2 linked regions of the Oryctolagus cuniculus genome follow. The protein of the gene in region 2 binds, or shares a complex with, the protein of the main gene of each other region. Links are inferred from orthologs where the notes say so. Each region holds a gene or a part of one and is shown on either strand. Other genes may lie near its edges.

Region 1 (4,493 bases), on a different chromosome or scaffold from region 2:
CTGTGAGTTCTCTGAATTTTGACATTACCTTCAGCAAAGAGGTTAAGGACCATGTCCCTTATTATTCTGCCATATTAACAAGCTTGAGACCTGCAAATTAGATTCTGGATTCTGACTTCTGGTCCTCAGTCTACTTATCACTTGATTATTAACGTATTAGAGGATTATTAATGTATTACATGGTTATTAACTTATTACATGATTATTAACTTATTACATGATTCTGAAGAAGCCCGTTGCCTGGGAAGTTTTTGAGTAGCCATAAAACCACCACACTGCAACTAGGAAAATAATCGGAATTCAAGTGAGATTGTCATTTAAATGGAAAAAGAATATGTTCAAAGAGAAATAAAACATTCACACTTATTTTATTCCTAAAATTGATTTTGCTAATACAAGTGATTGTGAAACTTTAAGAATCTATTTCTCTTATATTATCTTAAACGATGACTTTTTGTGAAAATTCAGGTCATTGGCTTTACTGGAACAATGGTAATAAAAATCCCCATTTAAAAAATGCAGGTCTTGCTACAGTTTGCTTTTTGTAAAGACCACATAAGGCACATGGAAACTTGCGGTAAATTAATGTTCCTTGTACCAAACTCCATGGAAAGAAATCTAGGGTAAAAGAAAAATAGTATATGATATGCTATACTGCATATAGTTAAATATGGTTTATTATGTTCATTCCCTGTAATACAAAGTCAACAGTTAAAAAGCCCCGTGTTAGCTGCAGCTTGCTCTCTGTCGCAGCTCTGGCTTTGAGAAGGCGATGCATTTGTGTCCACAAGCAAACCACTGGGGCACAGCTCTGCAAGCAGCTGTACAACTTCATCCCAGAGAGGTTTTTCACGAAACTGAGAGGAAAAGTGTCCTGGGCTTCAAGTAGTGGGAGGGGAATGATCGCCTGTCCAAATTCAAAGTATACAGCCAGAGACCATAAAGCATGGAAGTTTCTTAAAGCACAGAAAATGGTGTTGGATGTTTTTCAAAGCAAATATAATACCTAAAAAAACTTTTAATTTAAGTAATAAAGTACAAATATTGCCACTCTAAAATAACGCATGTCCCAAAGGGAGAGAAAGGTAATATCCACTCTCTTTTCCTTTGAATTCAGCTGGTCTTTAACCGCTTTTTATGACTTAGTCTTTAAAGTGCATAATCAACTTAGAAAGGAACAGACCAAAGATGGGAGACACAAGCTTGGTTTTCAGTGTGGATCACCTTCCCTTTTGTTTCACTCCCACTACCTCTTAATAGTCCTGCAAATCAATTCATCCCCAGATGATTAAGGGGCTAACATGCACTCTGCTGTTTCATCAATTCCACATTTGAATGAGATCATGAAGTGGCTCCATTATGTTATTAGTTACAAAGCTCTTCTGGGTGGTTCCTGACTCTCCTCCCAGGCCCTTCCCTCCAACACACACACACACACACACACACAGAACCTCTTTCTCAAGCTACTGCTAACACATGCCATGACAGCTCAACTACTAAAAGAGCAAAACTACTAGAATTTGGCACTTCCCTCACATTGCTCATTTCCTCCTCTCGTGCGCCCCCAACTCCACACCTATTGTCTCAGTGTATCCCCCAATTTCACAAAGCAGCTATTAGACAGGGCTAAGGTAACAACAGAGTGTATATAAACTCTGTGTGTATTCTTGAGTGGATGTAGGTGTTGTGTTGTTAGGTACAAGGGTGTGTGTGTGCGTGTGTGTTAAGAGGAGAGGGAGTTTTATGTTCTGTACATTAAGTAAGGAAAGAATTTGGTACATTCCTCTCAAAAAATATTTTGTTAAGTTATTAGAACAGTCAATTCAGAAATTGATGGTCTAACAAAGTATACCTGGGGTAACAAACATACCCTAGCTTTCTGTGGGTAAAGGGAAAAGGGCAAGCAGGACAGTGCAGGACAGGGATCAAAGTCGGCAACCAAATGAGCAATGGGGAACCATGGTGCATCTTGGAAAGTTTGGACTTGACCATTTCTCGAAGTGTTCCTGGCTGTCAGGCAGGATTGACAGTGCCAGCTGCTCAGTGTCACCAGGCAGGGGGACAAACAAGCCCCCACACGTCACCCAGAAATGCCAGCTAAGGGTCATCCGCTGGCAAGCCCCCGGGGTACTCCGAGAAGCAGAAAAAGAATGGGAAAATGAGACCTGCTCACAAGGGCTGCCTTCCTGCCTCCTCTCTACTGAGTCACACACACACACACACCTCCCAAAGCCTCAGGTTTGACAAAGAGCAACCATGCACCCTGCAGCCCACCCTGGCAAGCTCTGTAGCAGTCAGCTGGAGCAGCCTCCAAACGCAGGCTTCCCACGACAAAGGCTTCCCTCCTTCTGCTCAGAAAAGCACACTCTCCTTAAACCTGACCTGACAGCCCTCCCAAAAACATGCCTCAGTCTGCAGTAAGTCAGTTTTGAGAGCAGTCCTATCAGCAACCACACCAGGCAGCCCCTCTCCCACTCCCAGCACCTTCATCCGCTGGCAACCAGAAAAGTGGCACAGGGTGCAAGCACACTTAAGCCCCCTGGGGGAAATCACACATTCCCTCCGCTTACTTTGAGCTGCAAATGTCCTCCCTGGCGCTCAGGCTGCCTTTGTTGGAAGGGGCGAGGTTTGCCGCTGCTGGAGTCCAGGTACCCTGCGCGCTGCTGCTCCTGCCTGGGCGGCCGCTGCTCTGCTCTTCTGTACAGACGACTCACTGGTCTCTTTCTTCCTCTCTCTCCACTTTGGATTTTCCTGTGCTCTGGGGCTCCCTTGGCGGGATTTTTGGACTGGAAGGCGGGGAACCTGATCTGCTTTTGACTCAATTACGCCCTGACAGGGAGGGAACGGAAGGGAAATGGAGAATGGGAGGGATGGGAGAGGATGCAGGCTGGGCGAGGGAGGGAGAGTGCTTTTCACCCGAGAGCTGATTGGGAAGCTTATTAAAAGCAGGCTACTCCAGGGGCAGTCTCTCCCCGTGGAGCAAGAAAACGGATTTGAACCAAGAAGCCAGGAGATGTAAGACTGTATTGTTTTTAGCAGAGAGACGGAACACAGTCTAGCTTTTGCAAACCCCATGCATGCTCGGTGCTTTCCGGGGGCGCATTCCCCAGTTTACCAAGTTAACCTATCACACACAGTGACATTTTAGGTTGCAGTTTTGGCCCCTGTCATTTTTTAAAAATAATATTCAGGATGAAAAAAACAGCTTCTTGTTCTTCCCCACCCCCAAACGCCCTCCCTACACAGAAGAACCCCAGCCAAATTCAGCTGTCAGTCCCAGCCCACCTGAGCCTCCCAAAGTGTGCAGAGTACTTTTCTCCATTGTCACAGAGTGACAGATGTCTTCAGGTTCCTAATTAAGTGCTGCTTTCCTTTAGGTTTTTTTTTTTTTTTTTTTTTTTTTTGCTTCTGTGGTGCTTTTATGAGCCTTTGTAATGATAAGCCTTTGACATCGACAAAGAATTTAGGGGATTGATCAATGGAGCTCAAATGCTAGGTTTTATAGAACTCAGAGGCTGGGCTCCTTGACTTTCAGGAATTCCATCTCATTCAATGGAAGAAAGATGCTGAGATAGTAGAATTGGGACTGCTGAAGTCATATGTAGATGAATATTTATGGCATAGATGAGATTAAAAGTGTTGTATGAAATGATTCAGACTTACAAAGCAGATTTCCACTAACATTTACAGAAGTGAATTGTGAAGTGTTCTGTCTCTTGTCACTTCTTTCCAGCTCCTTCCAATGCTCCTTTTATGTCCTTGCTATCACCATTTGGCCACAGCCCACATGCCGGCTGCACCCCCCCATTTGGTTGTGGTTTGTTTGTCCATTTCTGTGGTTCTGAGCTCACGTCCTTCTATTCAATTTGACAAATATTTGTTAAGTACCTTATTTAACTCTTTTCCATTCACTTAAAACCACCCCTGACATCCCAAAGTAGAAGCACTGTTTTGTGGCAGGTAGCTTTTCAGGGATCTGAGGCTCTTCCATCGATTGCAACAAGCAGAAGTGTCCCACGGAGGAAGGAGTCAACTGGGGGCCAAGAAGCAGCTCGGCAAGTAGAGCTTTTAATCAATCAATCATTTTTTTTTTATTTTTTTTTCCACAAGGAGGTGCATCAGAAATTCCATTAGGCACTTTCTATCTATCCCCTTAAGGAAACTCTCCAGACACAGGGCGTACACCAACCTCCAATGAAACACAGATTGCAGCTTCCCTGTTCTCACAGGAGCCCATTCTCCCCGTGAAGCATCTGCTGGTAACTACCGACTGGAGGGATGCGCATGACCTTGACTAGGGTTATTTTTCCCAGACCCGTTACTGAAAGTGATGTCTCAGGGTTTCCCACCACTCTGCAAGGGCCGAGTTTCCTTCCTAACCTGTATCTTCACATCTACAGGTGAACATGTTGCCACCAGTCAGGTGGACAACGCAGGGCTGATCGTGGTGCCCATTGCTAAAGGTCATAAAGGAAGCATGAGATTCTCATTAT
Region 2 (4,435 bases):
ATCCCCAATTAGCCGCAACAGCCAGTACTGTGCCAATCTGAAGCCAGGAGCTTCTGGGTCTCCCACGTGGGTGCAGGGGCTCACGGACCCAGGACATTTTCCACTGCTTTCCCAGGCCATAGCAGAGCTTGATTGGAAGTGGGGCAGCAAGGACATGCGATGCCAGCACTGCAGGTGGCAGCTTTACCCACTACGCCACAGCGTCGGCCCCTGCTCCATTTCTGATCCAGCTCTCTGCTATAGCCTAGGAAAGCAGTGGAAGATGGCCCAAGTTCTTGGACTCCTGCACCTGCATGGGAAACCTGGAAGAAGATCCTGGCTCTTGGCTTCGGATCAGCTCAGCTCTGTCTGTTGCGGCCATTTAGGGAGTGAACCTGCAGATGGGAGACCTCTCTCTCTCTCTCTCTCTCTGGCTCTACATCTCTCTGTAATTCTGTCTTTCAAATAAATAAAATAAATCTTTTTTAAAAATGAAGGTAATTATCCCTGCCGTAAATGTTATTTCTATGAAGGTCAGCATTTTAGGCCCTTGCCTGCTGTGAAATCGCTGTCACAGCTACTTGATTTGGCCACGGTAGCAGCACAAGCAAGTGACAAGTGGGCGGGGCCGTGCCCAGGAAAAGTCATGTACAAACAGAGGTGCCTGCAACAGGCAGGCTGCCACGCACAGGGAACATAAGCGACCAAGTGCGTGCAGGGTCGGGTAAGGGAGGTGACCTCTGCAGGTGTGGAATCTCTCTAGGGGAACACACCAGAAACAATCAGCCAGCCTCCCTCCTGGGAAGGGAACTGTGGGAGGAGGGTGAGAAAGAGGATTTGACTCATAACATCCTTTTATAGACTATTACCCAGTCTAAAAAATCAACACAAGACAGCCTAGGGCTGCCACTTGGAACGCCTGTGTCCCACATCAGAGCACCAGTTCGAATCCCAGCTACTCTGCTTCCTACCACTGCACCTGGGAAGCAGAAGATGAGCCCAAGTACTCAAATTCTCACCACCTACATGGGAGACCTGGACAGAGCTCCTGGCTCTTGGCTTCAGCCTGGTCCAGCCCTGGCTTTTGTGATCATTTGGGATTGTGAAACCAGTGAATAGAAGATTTTTTCTCTACTCTCTGTCACTCTGCCTTTCAAAATCAGTAATTTTTTTCTAAGATTTTACTTATTTTTTTGAGAGGCAGAGTTACAGACGGAGAGAGGGAGAGATGGAGAGAAAGGTCTTCCTTCTGCTGGTTTATTCCCCAAATGGCTGCAACAGCCAGAGCTGGGCCAATCCAAAGCCAGAAGCCAGAAGCTTCCTCTGGGTCTCCCATGTGAGTGCAAGGGCCCGAACACCTGGGCCATCTTCTACTGCTTTCCCAGGCCATAGCAAGGAGCTGGATTGGAAGAGGAGAAGCCAGGTCTCAAACCAGTGTCCATATGGGATGCCGGCACTGCAAGTGAAGGCTTAGCCTACTACGCCACAGTGCCAACCCCAGTAATTTTTTTAATTGATTTGTTTTCCACATGAATTTAAGTCTCAGAGATTAAGTGCGTGAGGGAGGGGACTCTGTGCAAGATGCTTACCGGGAGCCTTCAAACTGGACCACGCTCTGCCCGAAGCCCTTCTCGTTTCTGCTGAAGGTCATGGTGTTCTCAGTCTCCAGGTTGAACCCATGACACAAGGCCACGGCTGGAGGGAGAACAAGGGGCGAGGATCAGTACAGGAAGGGTGCACCTGCCTGCTCCGGGCACCTTCCAGTCCAGCTTCTCCAGCCCCGGCCTGGGAAGTCTACACCTCCTGCCCTCCTCTCTATAGAAGCCCAGATAGCAAATGTTTCAGCCTTTGTAGGCCAAGAGGCTCCAGGAAGCTCATGGAAAAAAGAAAAAAAAAACTATGCACAGATTTCAAAATTTTTTGCACCCCCAAAACTTCTCTTTCAGTTCCACTTTTCCAAGGACTTGGTGAAGTATCCTGTAACTTTGTTAAGGGAATTCAGAAATGGATTGCTGAGTACAATTCTTTTTGAATACAGGTTTGTTAGTGAGATAAATGGGGTTCCGGAGGGTGGTGGAAGACAGCGTTTCACAGAACGAGGGTTCCTCCATCATGGAGTGGATTTGCCCATGTTCCATCTCCAACCCTGGCTCATAGCCTCCGGAGACCAGCGTGGGGTGGACTCAGCCAGCCTCTGAGAGCACACCAAGGAGCTCTTCCACTGGTACCAGCACCCCAGTGACTTGCCCAACGGTCAAGTTCCTACAGCTTTACTCTGTTTGACAATTTCCTTCCTACGTGGCTCCAATCATTTCCTTCCCTTTGTGACCCATTCCCCACTGCCCCTCCCCAACAAAACATGGGCATAAAGAGAAACAGGAATCATTTTGAATCATCTGTCATTCAACAAGCATCCATACTCGGGTCCTTGGGAAATGGGACCAGTGGGAGGTGGCGGGGTCTGGTGGCATCCAAAAAGAAACACCACAGCAGAAGAATCCAGCAGCTGTGCACCCATGGGTAGCTCACCTCACCTCTCTGGGCCTCTGTTTCCTGATATGAGAGGTGAAGGGACCAACCAAATGGCCTTGCACCGTCTCTGCCCCTCCTGGCCATCCCACCTTGCTCTCACTCTACGCTCTGATGGTCCTCCATCCATCACCCTCCCCCAAATCCCCTTTGCCTGCAACATCCAACCCCGACATACTCATCTCTCAGCACCCACAAAAACAAAAAATTCCCCTCCTCCACCCTGAGCCCCTCAACCCCACTCCCTCCCCCACCCCAAGCCCCAGGTGCACCTGTTAGCAGAAGGATCCTGTAAGTCATGGCTGGAAGAGCCAGGGGCCTGGAAGGAGTGAGAGTCTTGAGGTCGTAGGCTCCACTGAGCCACTTCAAGGAAGCCACCAAAGCCAGGCAGACCAAAAATAGAGAAGTAGGAAGCAGAAGTCTGCAAAGACCCAAAGGAAGAGGGCGGAGGCCCTGTGAGCACCAGGCCATGCCTGACCTCACTCCTGGGACTGCATACAGCCCCCTCTCCCTCCTGACCCCGCTTCCTGGCCCAAACCACCAAGATCACTATCCAAAAGGTGCCATCTGTCACCTGTTTGCTTCTAGGGTAGGTCAATTGCAGTGGGGGAGATGCTGATTCGTCTGATGATATCAGTTCACATTGCACACTGTACCCTATGAATACACACCGCGACTGTCAATCTCCCCCTCCCAAAATTGTTTCAATGCTTTTAAAGTAAAGAAAAAAAACAAAGCTGAATGGATCGGGGTGGGGCTCCTGGAGTGTGTATCTGAAGTATGCATGTGGATCAAATCAGTATGGAAGGCCAGTCTCTATGTCGCTCAACAAGATGCTTTGCAGGGGCTGGCAGTGTGGTGTAGTGGGTAAAGCTGCAGCCTACAGCACCAGCATCCCATATGGGCGCCGGTTTGAGTCCCGGTTGCTCCACTTCCAACCCAGCTCTCTGCTATGGCCTGGGAAAGCAGTGGAAGATGGCCCAAGTGCTTGGGCCCCTGCACCCGTGTGGGAGACCCAGAGGAAGCTTCTGGCTCCTGGCTCTGGATGGCCCAGGTCTGGCCATTGCAGTCATTTGGGGAGTGAACCAGTGCAATGAAAGATTTTCTCTCACTCTCGCTCTCACTCTACCTCTCTCTGTAACTCTTTCAAATAAATAAAATAATTCTTTTAAAAAAAGATATATGTGTGTTGAAGACAGGTATCGTGGCTCAGCATGTTAAGTGTGTTAAGCCCACATCCCATATCATGGTGCCTATTTGAGTCCCAGCTACCCCACTTCTGATCCAGCTTCCTGCTGATGAACCTGGGAAAGCAGCAGAAGGTGGCTGGGTTCCTGCCACCCATATGGGAGACCCAGATGGAGTTCCAGGCTCCTGACTTCAGCTTGGTCCAACCCTGGATGTTGAAGGCATTTAGAGGGTAAACTAGAAAATCTCTCCGTCTCTCTGTCTCTGTGTGTGTGTGTGTGTGTGTCACTCTTTCAAATACATAAATCTCCATATGTACATATACATATATATGTGTGTGTGTGTATGCAGGCAAAACAAAATCAGCTATTTCCAAATTGGGAGGACTGTGAGTAAGTTCCAGTTATCTATAGCTGCACAGCAACCATTCCAAACTTAGCAGCTGAAAACAGCAGTTTCTCACTCACGGTGCTGTGAACTGCCTGACCTCAGAAGTTCTCTCTGGAGTCTTTCACATGACTGCAGTCAGATCAGGAACCAGGGCCAGACTCTTCTCACTCGGGCTTCCCATCTCCCAGTCACGCTCACGGCTGGTGCCTTGCTGCCTGCTGCAGGAGCTGTCCCCTGGAGCCCCTTGCCTGTGCCCTCTCCGATGGCTCTGGCTTCTCCCAGCACGCTGGCTGCATTTTCAGAGCGAGCGTTCCTTCCATAAGGCAGGATGGGAAAGTTTCCAGTCTCT

Evidence for each region.
Region 1: the proteins of ITGAM (region 2) and PTN are in contact, whole or in part, in an NMR structure (PDB 8VOH), measured with the Homo sapiens proteins. The link is inferred for Oryctolagus cuniculus from reciprocal best matches to the Homo sapiens genes ITGAM and PTN. Residues at the interface, in NP_000623.2 of Homo sapiens: Pro273, Asp276, Arg277, Gly279, Val280, Ile281, Arg282, Tyr283, Lys306, Pro307, Arg309, Asp310, His311, Ala334, Ile335, Glu336, Gly337, Thr338, Gln339; in NP_001308315.1 of Homo sapiens: Val56, Pro57, Thr58, Ser59, Asp61, Cys62, Gly63, Leu64, Thr66, Glu68, Thr79, Lys81, Thr82, Gln83, Arg84.

The regions. Positions count from the first base shown.
Region 1 is NC_091434.1:173,077,203-173,081,695, forward strand, and holds the start of PTN (pleiotrophin), read right to left. Parts: upstream 2,919-4,493; 5' UTR 2,571-2,918; intron 1-2,570.
Region 2 is NC_091450.1:5,926,983-5,931,417, forward strand, and holds the start of ITGAM (integrin alpha-M), read right to left. Parts: upstream 2,919-4,435; 5' UTR 2,809-2,918; coding exon 2,781-2,808; intron 1,678-2,780; exon of another isoform or gene 1,675-1,677; coding exon 1,569-1,674; intron 1-1,568.